Saccharomyces cerevisiae S288C: one gene and its partners. The gene in region 4 interacts genetically with the main gene of each other region. Each region holds a gene or a part of one and is shown on either strand. Other genes may lie near its edges.

Evidence for each region.
Region 1: mutations in APL4 (region 4) and CKA2 together harm fitness less than expected from each alone (positive genetic interaction), as found in Saccharomyces cerevisiae (2 studies listed by BioGRID).
Region 2: mutations in APL4 (region 4) and EDC2 together harm fitness more than expected from each alone (negative genetic interaction), as found in Saccharomyces cerevisiae (2 studies listed by BioGRID).
Region 3: mutations in APL4 (region 4) and ERG2 together harm fitness more than expected from each alone (negative genetic interaction), as found in Saccharomyces cerevisiae (2 studies listed by BioGRID).

What each region holds. Positions count from the first base shown.
Region 1 is NC_001147.6:439,731-443,596, reverse strand, and holds CKA2 (casein kinase 2 catalytic subunit CKA2), read right to left. Parts: upstream 2,064-3,866; coding exon 1,044-2,063; downstream 1-1,043. Other genes in the region: YOR062C (uncharacterized protein), read left to right, coding at 66-872; SLD7 (Sld7p), read left to right, coding at 2,434-3,207; LPL1 (putative hydrolase), read left to right, coding at 3,339-3,866. UniProt on the Saccharomyces cerevisiae protein: Catalytic subunit of a constitutively active serine/threonine-protein kinase complex that phosphorylates a large number of substrates containing acidic residues C-terminal to the phosphorylated serine or threonine.
Region 2 is NC_001137.3:220,723-224,167, forward strand, and holds EDC2 (Edc2p), read left to right. Parts: upstream 1-1,916; coding exon 1,917-2,354; downstream 2,355-3,445. Other genes in the region: ZRG8 (Zrg8p), read right to left, coding at 1-565; YER034W (uncharacterized protein), read left to right, coding at 1,124-1,681; ATP-binding cassette family ATPase ARB1, read right to left, coding at 2,645-3,445. UniProt on the Saccharomyces cerevisiae protein: mRNA-binding protein which stimulates mRNA decapping by DCP1 and DCP2.
Region 3 is NC_001145.3:664,738-668,705, reverse strand, and holds ERG2 (C-8 sterol isomerase ERG2), read right to left. Parts: upstream 1,170-3,968; coding exon 501-1,169; downstream 1-500. Other genes in the region: TOM complex pore protein TOM40, read right to left, coding at 1-214; DNA repair protein RAD14, read left to right, coding at 1,662-1,688, 1,773-2,861; ROT1 (Rot1p), read right to left, coding at 3,184-3,954. UniProt on the Saccharomyces cerevisiae protein: C-8 sterol isomerase; part of the third module of ergosterol biosynthesis pathway that includes the late steps of the pathway. ERG2 catalyzes the reaction which results in unsaturation at C-7 in the B ring of sterols and thus converts fecosterol to episterol.
Region 4 is NC_001148.4:623,604-629,034, forward strand, and holds APL4 (AP-1 complex subunit gamma), read right to left. Parts: upstream 3,365-5,431; coding exon 866-3,364; downstream 1-865. Other genes in the region: YOP1 (Yop1p), read left to right, coding at 108-599; CSR2 (Csr2p), read left to right, coding at 4,277-5,431. UniProt on the Saccharomyces cerevisiae protein: Adaptins are components of the adapter complexes which link clathrin to receptors in coated vesicles. Clathrin-associated protein complexes are believed to interact with the cytoplasmic tails of membrane proteins, leading to their selection and concentration.

The DNA of each region.
Region 1 (3,866 bases), on a different chromosome or scaffold from region 4:
TTTTGGCCAGTCTGAACAGGTCGAAAATCTCCAAGACTCTAACATATACTACCTTGTTAGTGAAAATGACTAGTTTAGATGACAGTGTGCTGACAAAAAAAAATATAGCACTATTAGACAACGCCACCAACTATATTCGCCCCGCCATAGATTATTTTCATTTCAAATTTAACTATGATAGCTTGGACGTGTCCACTACCTGGCGCTTGTTGCTGAAAATGCGCAAGCATAAATTATTAAGGTTACCCAGTTGCTCTTCTGAAAATGAGTTTGACTATAGCATATATATGGCTAGGTTGTATCATTGTATATGGAGGAGGTGGTCCATAAAGCACTTCAATTTAGATGAATACAAAATTGATCCACTAAGCATAAACTGGAATAAAGAAATAGACGTTACTGTTCTTTACGGACCTGATCTGGTTGGAATACATGAAAGAGAGCAACCTACTCCAACGGACTTTCCTATGGGGAATATAAAGGAACAAGGGAAGCAATTATTGGATGTAAGAAAGGAGGGAAGTGCTTCTTCATTGCTGAAAAAAGGCAGCGTATTTTACTCAAAAGGTAAATGGCTCTCTCAGCGTTCAATATCATTCGATGACACTGTTCGTAGGCGAGATATTGACAAACGTGGGAGATTTCGTGAATCATGTGTTCTAATAAATGATGTAGAACAATTCCAAAACTATTCCATTGTCTGGGACGAGAGTAGACATCGCTACCGTCGGCAGGCACTTCCAGACACGTACGATTACGAGCATCTCTATCCCAATGGCGACGAAACTCCTCGGAACACGCCTCACGACAATATAATAATTCATCAAAACTTGCATAGCATTACGGAAGGCTCTTATATCTATATAAAGTGATTTTCTGGTCATATAATAATCTACATTCGTTGTTAAATAGAGTTTGCAATTTAATATTCACATTAAGGATATTCTCTAATATCAAGCTACAAAAAAGGAAAACCCCTGCTTTTTATAAATGGAAATCAGTGGTGGAAAAAGAATTGCCTTGCTAAGAGTATTGTTGTCCAATTATTCAAACTTCGTTTTGAAAAACTTATGATCCATAGCCTCCTTTGCTGTTAATCTTTCTTGATGGTCATACCTTAATAAATTGTCGATTAAATCAACCACTTCAGGAACAGCTAATTTGGTCTCGGAGGTTATAAAGTGTGTCCACGATTTTTTTGTAAAGTCTCTCATAATGTTGTCGTATTCAGATGGTAAGTGCAACCCGTACTTACCCAAATAGCCTAACAGTTCCTTGGTTCCTAGTACTGTGGCAATCTTTACCAGTTGATCTGGATTAGACGACCCTTTGAAAAAAGGTTCTTTTTTGAAGACAATAGCTGCTAGCATGCATCCTACTGACCATAAGTCTAGGGAGTAGTCATATTGGTTCAAGTTTACTAAAAGTTCTGGTCCCTTGTGGTAACGCGAAGCGACACGAACGTTGTAATCTACACCTGGATGGTAGAACTCCGCCAGGCCCCAATCGATCAGCCTTAGTTTACGTTCCGTAGGATCAATCATGACATTCTGAGGCTTTACGTCTCTGTGCATTATGCCCATGGAGTGACAGTAGTCTAACGCAATCAATAATTGCGTGAAATAATACTGGATGTCAGGAAGTTTGAATGTAGGATATAAAGTTCTGAAATCAACATTTTTGATTTCCTCAAAGATCAAAGCAGGTATTTTGGAGTCAGCGTCTTGTACTATATCATAAAGGCCAACAACATTGGGGCCGCCTGTTAGATTGGTCAGAATTTTCAACTCTCTATAAATTTTTTTCATTTTAACTGGTTTTAAAACTTTAATAACACACTTCTGGTTGTTTACAATACATCTACCGCTGAACACTTCGGAATATTTCCCTCTTCCAATTTTGTTGATAATTTCGTAATTGGAAATCTTTCCCCAATCGATGGTCACCCCTTGTTCGTAGTCCCAGTATTCTTGTGGTCTCTCCTCGCAGGCATTCTTGTACACCCTAGCTACAGAGTAGACTCTATTAGATTTCTGGTTCAATGTTGACGGAGGTAATGGCATTCTGTTTCTTCTATTCTTTTAGGTTTATTGTTCCTTCTATTTCCCTGAGACCTTACAACTCTATGATGTTTTTTTAATTACTTTTTATTTTTTAGCAATCATACAAACTCCAACAAATGTGTGTGCCCGTTGTTTCCCAATTCAGGTTAAAAAGGTTGACGATGCTTTATTCTTCTTTTTATAACTTCCACCTAGATAAGATCGTTGGAAATTTTTCGATCGTCTGTTTGCTTTGCCAGGTTCGGGCGAAAAGCGGGCTACGCAAGGAAATTTTTTTCTTTGAGGCCTGATAAAGGCCTGTTGGCAGGTAACTAAGAAATGATAGACTGCCTTGAAAGGGGACAGCATTCACCAATTCGCCTGACTTTTGATGTCACGGAAATTATGCACACTAAATTTTACTCTTAGCGGAAAGCAGGGAAGTTTGGTCATTAGGGATATCCAACTTTGGAGCAATCGACCTACAGCAAGTAAATCAACTTCAGAGTTGAGGGGACAATTCATTCAGTATGTAGATCTCGCAAAACTGCCTTTGTGGGTCCGCTCCACAAATATGAATACATATAGATGTTATAGTACCAGTGCAACCGCACAGGCTTACTTCAAATCAAAACTAAGGAACGCGAATCGTGGCATTGTCATTGAATTGTTTGACAAGGTCGATCAGCGATCGCAGGAGCCAGCATACTTGATTATATTTCGAGAGAACACAGAGTTAAACTGCTTTCAAGTGGATCTAACAATGAAGCATGAGTTTGATGGCCAGGTCACCAAATTGAAGCAAGATATTGGAAAGACAAGGGCCTCCGTATCAAAGGAAGGTAGTATTGATATAATAATACAACAATCTCAACAAAGGAAGATCGGAACGAAAACGGAAGTGTATCGCAACGTGCATATTAATGACAAACGGCTTCAATTCAATGAAACTTTGTCCAAGCTAATTTTGGGTGGCCTCCGACTTCGAGGTATTTCTAATTCTATTACAGACTATCAAAAGTTATACAAGATAACGTTTGATGCAGCTGAATTTACGCACAGGGATGAATTAAAACGCATTTCGATGGGATCTGGTGAAGAGGTTTCGTTTGAATCATTGCAGGAAACTGTGGAAACTCTTCTGAAGCTCTTTACCAAATCATGATCAACGGGGATTTTCAGTATATAAGATCAAAATGAAAAACAAAGATAATAAAGAAAGGGTGGCAACTCTTTACTGCAATAATCGGTAGAAAACTTCGTGTGATCAACCATATATATTATACAGCGCTTCAGATGACTTCGGATAAACACCTTTTTGTGCTGATTCACGGGCTATGGGGTAACTATACTCATATGGAATCTATGAGGACAATTTTATCCACTACATTAAAAAAGGAAGATGTTAACGATGATATGATATATTTTTTACCAAAGCAGAATGCCATGTTTAAGACGTTTGATGGTATCGAAATCATTGGGTACAGGACATTGATTGAAGTTTGTGAATTTATCCGAGATTATAAAGACGGGAAAATCACCAAACTAAGCGTAATGGGATATTCGCAAGGCGGATTAGTGGCCCGATTTATGATCGGTAAGATGTTGACCGAATTTAAAGAACTGTTCGAGGATATTGAACCACAATTATTCATTACAATGGCAACGCCTCATTTGGGGGTAGAGTTTTACAATCCTACGGGCATAGCATATAAAAGTGCGTTATATAGTGCGCTGAGGACCTTGGGATCTACTATTTTAGGTAAAAGCGGGAGAGAAATGTTTATCGCAAATTCTAGTAACAATATATTGGTGAAATTGAGC
Region 2 (3,445 bases), on a different chromosome or scaffold from region 4:
CGTTTAATATTATTACGTGCGATTCGACCTTGGAATCTCCCCACGAATGAGTAATTGTGCCCTTAATAGCAGGCAGAGAGTCTGTGGTTCTATTAAAATCTTTTGCAGGAGAAGTTTTTTTATATGCAGTATATTCACTTTCATTGTCATGACGTGAAAAGGAAGAGGTAGAAGAGGAAGGAAAGAGCGGCGGTGGTAATGGCGGCGGAGGTCCAGTATTTTTTGTGGGTGGATTTTGGAGAACAAATGAATTTGAAGTAGTCTGATTTGTGCTTGTGGTTGGAGTTGAAGCTAAATGCGAGTTTAAGTTTGAGTTTGAAGTTTTCTTGAACAACTTTGAAGTCTTGTTAGCCAAACGATGGAAAGACTCAAATCCAGGTGAGTGTTTCGCGGGTGGTGGAATGCTATCGTAATTCATTTGTGATGGTGTAGATGGTAGAAAGTCTAAGGAGTCATCACTTGACCTTTGAGAACTATTATTAGTATTGCCACTGAAGTTGCTATGTCGCTTGGGGCTTTCATCAAACGACGTGGACTTCTTATGGGCTTTTATGAAAGACCGCATGATGAAATATTCCAGTTATGCGTGTGCGTCTTGTGATGCAGATCCTTTTGGGCAAAAACAGTTGGTTTGTGCGAAAACGCAAGGTAATAAATAGGCTTAAAGGAACTAAAAAAAAAAAAAGGAAAATAACCAGCTAAGATTTAAGGTACAAGAAAGCGGTTGCACCTCAAGTAATGATAGTTATTAAACCTTGGATTGGACCAGATGTTTAAAATTGTTTTCAATAGTAGATTTGCAGTCGTAAATGCGTTCTCAGCAATATCATATTGTGTTTATGAAGTATTACCAAACGGGTAGAAGAACGGTTTAAGAGAATATGTCCGGATAAAGCGATCAGGAGAAAAGCTTAAAACCCAAAGTGGTCAATCTGCAGCCCATTTAGGCACTCTGCATTTAACCGATACCCGGATTGAAGAAAGCTGGCGGGTGTATGGGTGAAGGAGAAGAAAGGAAGTGATTAGGAGAAACCTCATGGAGATGAGCACATGCTACAACTAATAACGTTATTCTACTTAAAACGAGCAAAACAAAAAAAAAAACAAGACAATTGAAAACGCAATGGATGCATTCAGCTTAAAGAAGGATAATCGAAAAAAATTTCAAGATAAACAGAAATTGAAAAGAAAACATGCCACACCCAGTGATAGAAAGTACCGGCTATTGAACCGCCAAAAAGAAGAGAAAGCTACCACAGAGGAGAAAGATCAAGACCAAGAACAGCCCGCCCTGAAGTCAAACGAGGACAGGTACTATGAGGACCCGGTACTCGAGGACCCGCATTCTGCAGTCGCCAATGCAGAGTTGAACAAGGTGCTAAAAGACGTCCTCAAAAATCGGCTCCAGCAGAACGACGACGCCACAGCCGTCAATAATGTTGCTAATAAAGATACTTTGAAAATCAAAGACCTCAAGCAGATGAATACGGATGAGCTCAATCGTTGGCTCGGACGGCAGAATACAACATCGGCTATAACAGCGGCTGAGCCCGAATCATTAGTCGTTCCCATTCACGTACAAGGTGATCATGATCGTGCGGGCAAGAAGATCAGTGCCCCTTCGACCGATCTACCGGAAGAACTAGAGACCGATCAGGATTTCCTTGATGGACTGCTCTAATCGCGCGGTACGACAGTTACTGCGTGAAAAGATTATCAGCGCCCCTTTTTTTCTTCTTTGTTCTTAACGTTTCTTTTTCTTGCGGCTTATGCCCGTACTTATAAAACAACGGCCTCCCGTGCCCTATTACCTTCCTGATAGACCGGACAATAACGTCACTACATACAAAGTTATACACTAACAGAAACTCAAACACAAACGTTTTTATAATAGTCAAAATTAAATATCTCTCATAATGGGTTCCGAGACAAAACATTCTGCAAAAGTCAAGATTGTCACAAGGGAAAGTCCTCCTTCCGCCAAGGAGCACATGCGCCCCACTAAAACTCAAATATTAGTTCCACCGACGCAGAGTTTGCCCAATGGCAAGAAACCAAACTTCGGTAAGTCTACAAAACAGCGGCGAGAACCTAGGGAACGCACCTCGAAGACGGGACACGAGGACGATAAGGCAACGATGGTCACTGTTAACATAGATGCCTTCCTACATGATAAGGCCCCTAAAAAAAAATCGTGCAAATACAAGAAGAAGAAAACGAGACAGTACCAGGATAGGGCGGCGGCGTCGATCGATTCGAAACCGCACGTAGCTGGTCATACGGCCTTTGCCGGTGCTTCGTTCACAACAGATATCCCACATGAGGCAGCGCTACCCAAACCTAGTTTTGTTTGAGTAGCTGTGATTGTAAATTTTTTTATTTCTACTTGAGCGGGCGGGCTCTCATTTTTTTTTTTGGGGTTTTATTTAGGTCGGATTATTCATAAAGATGGCATTTATATACATTTTTACGCAATTACCCTCATATTCTTACACATACGGAGAAGTCATTGTTATATCTTCTTGCCTTCACATTGTTATCGGTGATTTTCTTTCTTTATTGATTGATTAGTTATATAAATTATTGCTATTAAAATACATAAAAGGGGAAGTAAAAACGTGCACGGCGCAGATCAACTTCACAATTACAAAACAACGTTCTTGGCCAATTTGTTCTTATATTGCAAAATGGATCCGTCCCATCTGGTAGCGGTCTTGTTTTCCACAACGAAAATATCTTGGGCAATTTTGTCTAATAATCTGAAATCATGCGAAACGACGACGACACCACCGTTAAATTCGTTGATGGCGTCGGCCAAGGAGTCGATGGTTGGGATATCCAAACCATTGGTAGGTTCATCTAATAGTAGGACATTTGGTTGTTCTAAAGCTAATAAAGCAAAGACGACACGAGAACGTTGACCTTCTGACAAGGTAGCCATTTGAACGGTTTGACCTTCCCCGGTTAGCCCGTAGCGACCTAGTTGGCCTCTCCAGAATTGGAAATCTTGTGAGATGTTAGAGTACTTGTCACGGACAAATTCTAAAGCAGATTTTGTCAAGTCCAGTTGATCTTGAGAGTGTTGCGAGTAGACACCCAACTTGACATGGGTATGTCTAGAAACACGGCCAGATTGTGGGGTCAATTCACCGGTCATAATCTTCAACAATGTGGATTTACCAACACCATTTGGTCCGACAAGGGCAATACGTGAGTCCATATCGACACCAAAGTTCAAATGTTCGTACAAGTTTTCGGATGGGTTGCTCTCATAATGAAATGAAATATCATCGAATGCTAAAACTGGTGGTGGCAATCTTTCCACTTGTGGGAATCTAAATGAGAAAACTTTGTCAGGGACGACAGGTTGGACTAAACCATCTGCTTCCATCTTGTCCAAAATTTTTTGTCTAGATTTAGCTTGTTTCACCAAGTTAGCATAAGT
Region 3 (3,968 bases), on a different chromosome or scaffold from region 4:
GGGAGACTTCCTTATTCAGGTTTTCCACGGTACCGGGATTGACCAGCTCCAAAGATTGTCTGTGAGAATGCAATTGTTTGTACGTATCCACAACAAAGCTAGATATTGGGTTTGAGGAGAAGAAATTCCCCTTGGATTGCTTCGCAGTCAAAGGAGAAAGGGCCGGGATAGTGGGAATTTGAGAGGCCTCTGCTAATGGAGTTGGTGCAGACATGATTCACGTCGGTTATTGGTAGTCTTTTATTGTTTTGCACGATGGTTAAAAGGCCTTATACGCATACACCGCTTTCAAAGAATTGAAGATTGAGTTCATGTCCACCAAAAGACGCCTTTTTCACTTTTTGCAAACGCCGAATATATCCGTCGTCGTAGGTGATAAAAAGCTAAAGAGAATATAAACAATAGATAATAATAATAATAATAATAATAGTAATAGTAATAATAATAATAGTTATATTATAATGGACTACCGCATGACTGATTTCGTGAGGTCGGGCAGCTTAGAACTTTTTGTTTTGCAACAAGTTCTTACCCATGTCCCTGGCAGTCAGGTAGACAGTTCTATATAGAGTGTATAAATCAAGAGTACTGGAGAAAGTGTCCAAAAACCCGAATGGCAACATACATGGAATCCAGCCTTGAGCCAATTCAAGGGCAAAGGAACCACCTGGCATGCTGTATTGCTTGGCGTATCCCTTCTTCAAGTGATGAGTCATACCAGGAGTGTAAACTTCGGCTTCAGTGGCATATGGCAATGCTGCGATTTGCGTACCATGTAAGATGGTAAAATAGTCGTCAGCAAAGTGAACACCTGTGTGCCCTTCAGTACCAACAGCGGTTCCGAATAGAATTAAGTACTCGGATACGGAAGCGTGTAGGATGATCATTTGGCCCATCGCACCACCAGCATTGTTGAAGACCCATTCTTCTTTGACGTACCTGTTGATGTATTCGTCCCCGTAATGAGAGGCAAGTGCGTCTCTGACATCCTGTAACAGGTCTTCAGTGGATAAACCTTCTGCTGCGTTGTGTTTGCTAATCACCGAGTTACATATTTCGTTCAAAGTTTTTGGATCGAACATGTAATTGGTTGGCAACCAGGTAGTGAACAATACGTTCATAATGTAGCCTACAACACCAATCAACAAAAGGAGTGGGAAAAACTTCATGGCTATAATGGTCTGGGCTAGTCTTAGTTTGATTGAGCGACAAGAGAGATCTGAACCCAGTGTCAAACGTTACCGCTTCTTTCTCTTATATACCATGGCGCTGCAGATCTATCCAAATTCTTCCATACTGAAAATCATCCAAACGAGAACGATAGCACCGGTAGTTTTCCTTGCGGCTTATACGAGGGCCGTGGTTCGATTCTGCCCTGGAGCGTAAGGGCAGGAATGTGCATTGCATAAGATCATAATGGGATACTTCGTTGATAATAAGCAGAATCAACATAGCAGACTGCTAGTGGCATACTCCACAACCCTTGTTTTTTTTTTTTTTTTTGTTTGAATAACTGTACTTCTATAGAAGCTCTATCTACAGCATGTTTGACGTTTGCTAAGTTGTAGGGAGAAAAGAGGAAAGTGAAAAGAAGGTAAGGAATTTATCGGAACTAGAAAAAGAGTTTGGATCTTCGTAGTGAAGGTATCGAACGTAACGCTATGACTCCCGAACAAAAGGCCAAACTAGTATGTGTGAAAATGATTCTGTGTTTGTATTTTAACCGTGGGTTTCTTTTTACTAACAATTTAACGATGAGATGAGCTGTGCAGGAGGCTAACAGGAAATTAGCAATAGAACGGTTAAGAAAAAGGGGAATACTGAGTAGCGACCAATTGAATCGAATAGAAAGTAGGAATGAACCTTTAAAAACCCGGCCTCTCGCAGTTACTAGTGGCAGCAATCGGGATGATAATGCAGCAGCCGCAGTACATGTGCCAAATCATAATGGACAACCGTCTGCGCTTGCTAACACTAACACTAACACTACTTCACTTTATGGTAGCGGAGTAGTTGATGGAAGTAAAAGGGATGCGTCGGTACTCGACAAAAGGCCAACGGATAGAATCAGACCTAGCATAAGGAAACAAGATTACATTGAGTACGATTTTGCCACCATGCAGAACTTGAATGGTGGTTATATCAACCCTAAGGACAAGCTTCCAAATTCTGACTTTACCGATGACCAAGAATTTGAATCTGAGTTTGGATCTAAAAAGCAGAAGACACTACAGGACTGGAAAAAGGAACAACTTGAACGGAAAATGCTGTACGAAAATGCACCTCCTCCAGAGCATATTTCAAAGGCGCCGAAATGTATTGAATGTCATATTAATATTGAGATGGATCCTGTGCTACATGATGTGTTCAAGTTACAAGTTTGTAAACAGTGTTCTAAGGAGCATCCAGAAAAGTATGCACTACTGACGAAAACAGAATGTAAGGAAGATTACTTTTTAACAGACCCCGAATTGAATGATGAGGATCTCTTTCATAGACTAGAAAAGCCGAACCCTCATTCGGGGACATTTGCAAGAATGCAACTATTTGTTAGATGTGAAGTGGAAGCCTTTGCGTTCAAGAAATGGGGTGGAGAAGAAGGTTTAGATGAGGAATGGCAACGTCGTGAAGAAGGAAAGGCTCACAGAAGGGAGAAAAAATACGAAAAGAAAATCAAGGAAATGCGACTGAAAACAAGAGCTCAAGAATATACTAATAGATTAAGAGAAAAGAAGCATGGGAAAGCCCATATTCATCATTTTAGTGATCCAGTTGATGGAGGTATTGATGAAGACGGTTATCAAATTCAAAGAAGAAGATGTACAGACTGCGGGCTAGAAACTGAAGAAATTGACATTTAAATGTTGGTTATGTATATAAGAATATAACAAGAAAGTCATAATAAGGTGTTTTGATTGTGTTCATTGATTGATATCCCATTTGTCACTCGTACATAATTAACTATCTCGGAAAAACTGGTTTGAAAATCTTTTATTCATCCACCTTATTTAATAATATGATTACAATCAATTCCTTGGGTGCATAAAATTACACCTATTCTTGCTTCTCTTTCTCGCCTGATAAAGTTGTTTTGCCTTATATGTTTATAGTTTTTAATATTTATTTGAAGGCCACATGGGGCCTCTTTCCCCCATTGGTTGAATAAGTATCCCTGTAGTGCGCCTAAAATGCTAAAAATAATAATGAACCTACACCTAGCATACCCGCAGAAATATACCAAATGGCATTGGAGGTTAAAAATGAGGTATTTTGTCTTTTAATGGCATTCGTCTTGTGTCTGTTTTCCAGGCTCCTCCTCACTAAACTTCTCAGTGATCTTTTCTTATTAGAGGATGGGTCGTCAGTGCTGGTCGCTGACGATGTTGGGTTCAAAGTTTCTGTTGGAAGCATCATTGGTGGTCTATAAGCCAAATATAGTGGTTGCATTGGAGTACCATCATATTGGTACAATTGCAGGGTGTAAATACCATGGTAAGGATCTATACCTACGGCATATTCCTTGAAAGTTTCTGTTTGGTTATATCTAGAATAAGTCGAAACTCCGTCATCATTGCATGGGTCGCTGAATAGTTGTCTACCGTCAACTTCAATAGGATTCAGAACTAACGTACCGTTTTCTGAAATGTTATATGTACCATGCTGATAAATCAACGAAGCCATGGGGCAAGTTGGGTTACGAGGATTGCCACTTACCTGGTAAGTAGCTTCTTCGTACCAACCATCTTCAGTGAACGAATAGCTAAGCCCGGGCAATGAAGGTTCTATCAATAGTTCATCTACGGGATCATAAAACCCCGGTCCCGTGAACACTTGATTTGATTTAGATGACCAGGTACCGTATATAGAGTTACTTTCGTCTTCACAATAGACCTTTTGAGCAAACAAATACCCGCCTAAGATTAGCTTTTTTAATGTAAACTTTTTCGACCACATAGTAATAAAGTGCA
Region 4 (5,431 bases):
ATCGTCATCATGGTTCAAACAGCCAAATGACCCGACACACGTAACCGAAGCAGTTATACTAACAAGAAAGCTAATTTTCACCCTCCTTGCTACATTTTTTTCTACAGAAGTACTCTGGTAATAGAATTTTACAGCAATTAGAAAATAAAACTAATTTGCCTAAATCTTATTTAGTTGCTGGTTTAGGTTTCGCTTATCTCCTTTTGATTTTTATTAACGTCGGAGGTGTAGGTGAAATTCTTTCCAATTTTGCTGGGTTTGTGTTGCCAGCATATTTATCGTTGGTTGCTTTGAAGACACCAACGTCCACCGATGACACACAACTCTTGACCTACTGGATTGTCTTTTCATTTTTGAGTGTCATTGAATTCTGGTCCAAGGCAATTCTATATTTGATTCCATTCTACTGGTTTTTGAAAACCGTTTTCTTAATCTACATTGCCTTGCCTCAAACTGGTGGCGCTAGAATGATCTATCAAAAGATCGTAGCCCCATTGACCGACAGATATATCCTAAGAGATGTTAGCAAGACAGAAAAGGATGAAATTAGAGCTTCCGTCAATGAGGCTTCTAAGGCTACAGGTGCTTCTGTTCATTAAGAGGCAACTCACCTATATCCTCAAATCAAACTCTCGTTTTTGTTCTCTTTGTTATCTATTCTATTGAGAGCATATAAGTACATATGTTATTAGTTGTTATATATCGCTACTTAACATATAAAATATTTTGGAGTCGTTTATGGTGTCCCAGAAGATAGCATTTCTATTCATCGTGTTGTGTCGTGACGTGTCTCTTGATATGCGCGACAGACCATCCAACGCAAGGTCATTAATCATGTTATGTTCTGTAATTTTAAAGGCATTTTTTATAGAGTTTCATCGAATTTGTGATCGAACTGTTCATTGGTGATAGATGAAGAGCCATTTAAATGAAAATCCAACTTAACTCTTAACTTCAGTTTCCCAGATCCAGAAATTTTCAATGACTGCTTGCAAATTTGGCTGGCGTTTATTGTGGAAGATGGATATAACTGGCCTAGTGTTAGCTTTTGAGCTTTAGGAACGGCACAGAAAGTTTTTAAGTCAGATATTAAAGACTTTGCCTGAAAATATAAATCCAAATGTGCTAATCCAGAGTTTGCAGAGAGCAAGGAAGCATATACATTCAGTGAGGAACTGTCATATATCTTGTTGGCATCCAATGGTAAGGTGACACCTGAGTTTGCCTCCACTGCCGACGAATGATTGATTGATTCTTCCTTGTTCGCATTTTTGGGCACCTGAGCAATGTCATTCTTCTCTCCAAAAATCTCTTCTAATATGTCAATTGGTTTCACATTGTCACCAGTAGAAGCCTTGCTTTCAGCCTTGCTATCCTCACCCAATAAATCTGACAGCAGATCAACTGGTTCGTTGGAGATAAGGTTTTTCGATAGAGCTTTTCCATTATCCTGTTCCTCGGTAATTTTTTCAAATTTAGGCATTGTTTCTAAAATGATCTTCTTCACAGAAATTGACTGATTGAAAAATATCTCGTATTGATTGCTTTTCATTTGCAGTGATAAATCAGTGGAATCCGTGTAGCTCAATATCAGTTGTCTTAGTTTTTCAATATTTTTCGCGTCATGGAACCTCACAGATAATTTTAATGCTGCTGTTAAAATGTAATTGATTATCTTCAGATTCGTTGCTGTGTAGAGTTCTTGCAAAGTTAGTAAGTAATCAGTAATAGATGACTCATTGATTATGTCTGCACCATTTTTATTGCCCTCGTTGAGTACTAAATCGCCATATTCGCCAATGCACCAAATCAAAACCAACTGCCAACCAATATTTTCCTCGGAAATCTCCGCTGATGTTCCATTTAGTGAAATTGTCAGCATTTTCCGTAAAAATTCAGATTTGTCGGATAACTGGCTCGTATTATTTATTATGATTAGAATATCATTAATTTTTTCATAGTTGATAAACGATCCCACTAATTTTAAGATATTAAAGAAAACATCTAATTTCCAGCTTTCATCTTTGACAACGCGGGTATCAAAAGTGTCAATTAAGTGATCTATAGTGTATATTATGAGATCTTTTGAATCTTCATCCTGTTTTGCCAAAAATTTCATCAATTCGTTAACCAATTCCACTAAATTTGAATCGTCCAAGATGGCGAAGCTCAACTCTAACGCTCTCATGCGGATCGACACATCGGTATCCTGCAGACAATGAGAAATGAATTTTCTATGCCTTTGTACTGCGGTAGGCTCTTGGGGAACAACTTTTAATAAGGTGTTTAATGAAACGTATTTAGTATTATTATCTTTTCCTGCAAGAAACTTGGCCAAGATGTTAATACCAAGGACACGTAGAGGCTGGTTCAAATCCAACGAAAAGATCGTCTTCACGGTCTCATAAAGAATGGCCTGTCCGCTGTTTTTCGTTGAATCCGTATTCGTCGCAATACGAGTCAATAAATCGCAGAAATTATCTTTGTAGTCCAAAACATTGTTCGAATTTAAGAGCTCACCAACTTGAAAGTATAGTTTTAAAGTGTAAATTATTTCACACTGCAGAAATGGGTCACAAATACCTTGGACATCATATCCAGGTTCAATATTTTTAGAATTCATATTTTCCAAACGAATGAAAAAATCACGCAAAAGTAAAGATAATGGAGACAAGATGTCATTGCTGTAATCAATACCGTCTTCATCTTCATCCTCATCTTTTTTTCTGTTCAATCCAATTAACAAAATAGATTGTATGATTTTCGTAACGCCTAAAAGTACACCGTGAGTACATATTGAATGACTAGACAATATCTTAGTAATGTCTTCGATGTTGAAGATTTCTAAAAGTGAAACGTCTTTGAAAATTAGTTTGGCAGCACATTGAAGCGCTTTTTTCAAGAGGAAAGGGTCTCTTGAATTTTTGATGATATTTTCGACGTCTGGGTATAAATCTCTGGCTAATTCAGGGGAGCTCAAAAAGCCTAATGAGGTTAGTGCAAGTGACACTGCATATTTGTTGGGATGATGCAAATCGTTGTTCAACATGTTCGTTAAGAGTGTCAATAAATCTTCAGATTCGTCCAACAATAAAGTTGCGGCCAGATAGCCTAATCTTTTATCGACAAAATCGTCAGAAGCAATTAAATTGATAGACTCCACCTGACCGAAATGTGTCTTTTCCCCTAGAATGTATAGATACAGAAGTTTCTGGATATTTACTCGCCTTTTTTCATGTGGTAGATGGTCATCTCTCAATTTTGTCCTAATTTTAGCAGATTGTTTCGTTATAATTGCCCTTTCATCTGCCAGTGTTTTGGCACCACGAACGTCTTTGATAAAGCTTCTCAACGAAGAGCCCATTATGGTGTTCAGGTCTTTCTCGTTGCTAAATCAAGATGGTCAATATTTCTTCTCCAATATTAGCAGTATAAAATCTCGAAAAAGTATGATTTAGTTGTAATTCTCATATGGCCAAGCCCACTAAATTCAGTGAATACAAACAGCTAAGGACGTCAAAACTCAGAGTCGGGTAATCTTCATTTGAATTTTTTTTCTCTTAAGGTAGATAACACCAAAGAAAAGCAATCAGTAGCAAAATATGGACTTTAACGCTGTCAGTTCCAATTGAGAAATATCGTAAAGAAAGTTAGTTGTTTTCACTCGCAACCTCTCTACCTTCGTGGCCTAAAATAGATTTAAATAATCGAATAAACGGTTTGTTCTTATATGTGATACCCTCTTTCACCACCTTCCTGTAGCCCCAGTTGGTATTACTTGTCCCAACCTCATTCCTCTTTCCATTATCAATTAATCGGTTTGTGTTGTTCGTAGCAGGACCACACTTCCGGAATTATATACATTTACATGTATATAGAGAAGAAAGCTTCGGCGGCTAAAGAATAGAACCATCTATTACCCGCTCGCCCGGTCGTTTGGATGCGTGGGTGGTATAGTTTCTTTTTTTTCATTTTAAGGGATACCGCTCCCCACGTACCCCACGACCAGCCCTAGTGGAATAAGAAATGCAAAATCCGGGGTTGGCGCAGCGATTCTGCACGGCCAAACCCTGGGCTTCTTTATTTTGTAGATCTGCCAAATGATGGCTATGCCTTACTCGGTATCACATGGAAAAGACCCCCGGCTTATTGAATCCCGTCTCCCGTTCCCTGCATAGTTGTCACGGTTTGGACTATATATATCGTCGTTTCTCTGTTTTATTTATTATGATGGCTCTCCAAGGGTAATCAGTCAGACTAGTAAGCAAAGTCAATCATGCAATCTACTGTCCCAATAGCAATTGCGAGCAACGGCAACAAGAGAGATGTCGTCCAGAACGTTTCTGCAGGCGACGAGGGTGATATATTGCAAAGGCTAGCCCGTAACAGAGAGATGATTTCTACCTCCCTCTCGCCACAAAAATCGTCAGGATTTAGTGGTAGAAGGAGGTCATCTAGTGTTAGGGACGCCCTTTCTTCTTTTTTTGGAACTGGTAATAGTCCAACATCTAGTATGGACGATTATTCCAATTTGATGAACCGTAACTATTCTACCGCATCAACTGCCATGTGTAGGGGGAACAGTTTTCCTTCAGATGTTGGCACTAAGGCTTACAATATTACGGGATCTTACCAACCGGATAGGCACAGGAATTCTGTTCCGTATACCACCATAGACCAGTTACACACAAGGCAAGACACCGGGTTGAGGAGAGAGTCAGATCCAGTCGCGGCAAAACAAATATCTAGTAATAATGATATTGTTAGGTCATTCATAACACATCATGCTAGTAATAGCACTATGTTTATTAATAGGGTGCTATCGGACTATTTAGCGGATCGTGGTTTCATCAAGCAAACACCGTTATATAATAAGAAAAGTGTGCTGGAAATTTCCATTGCAACAAGTGCAGAATCAGTTTTCTTGCCAACTACAAAAAGTGATGAAACAGAGTATCTATCACTGATTCATGGTTCTTTAAATCAGGCGCGAACACAGCCTGTCGGGTCCACTAACACTGCAGAAAGTGATTTCCTCCCTTCATGTCCTACGATGGACACTTTGAATGAAAACAATGATTTATCACTATTTCCGTTACATACACAGCGAACCAGCCCCTCTAATACAGCAAGGACAGGTAATGCTATGGATACAAGCAATTCTGATCGTGCTTCTCCGGCCTCGAACAATAACACAACAGATGCGGATTCCTTTGTTGCGAGTGGCAATAACAACCCTATGAATAATAACAATTCTCCCGCGAGAAACAGACATCCTAATTCTCACTCGCGTTCTCTTCCTAATGCTTGGAATAGCCAAATGCCTTCATTCAGCTTTGCATTGATATTTTCCCTGAATAAATCAACTACCCTTTCTGATATTAAAGTAGAACTCACTTCTAACGTGAGAGTGGTGTGGTTCAATGGTCTT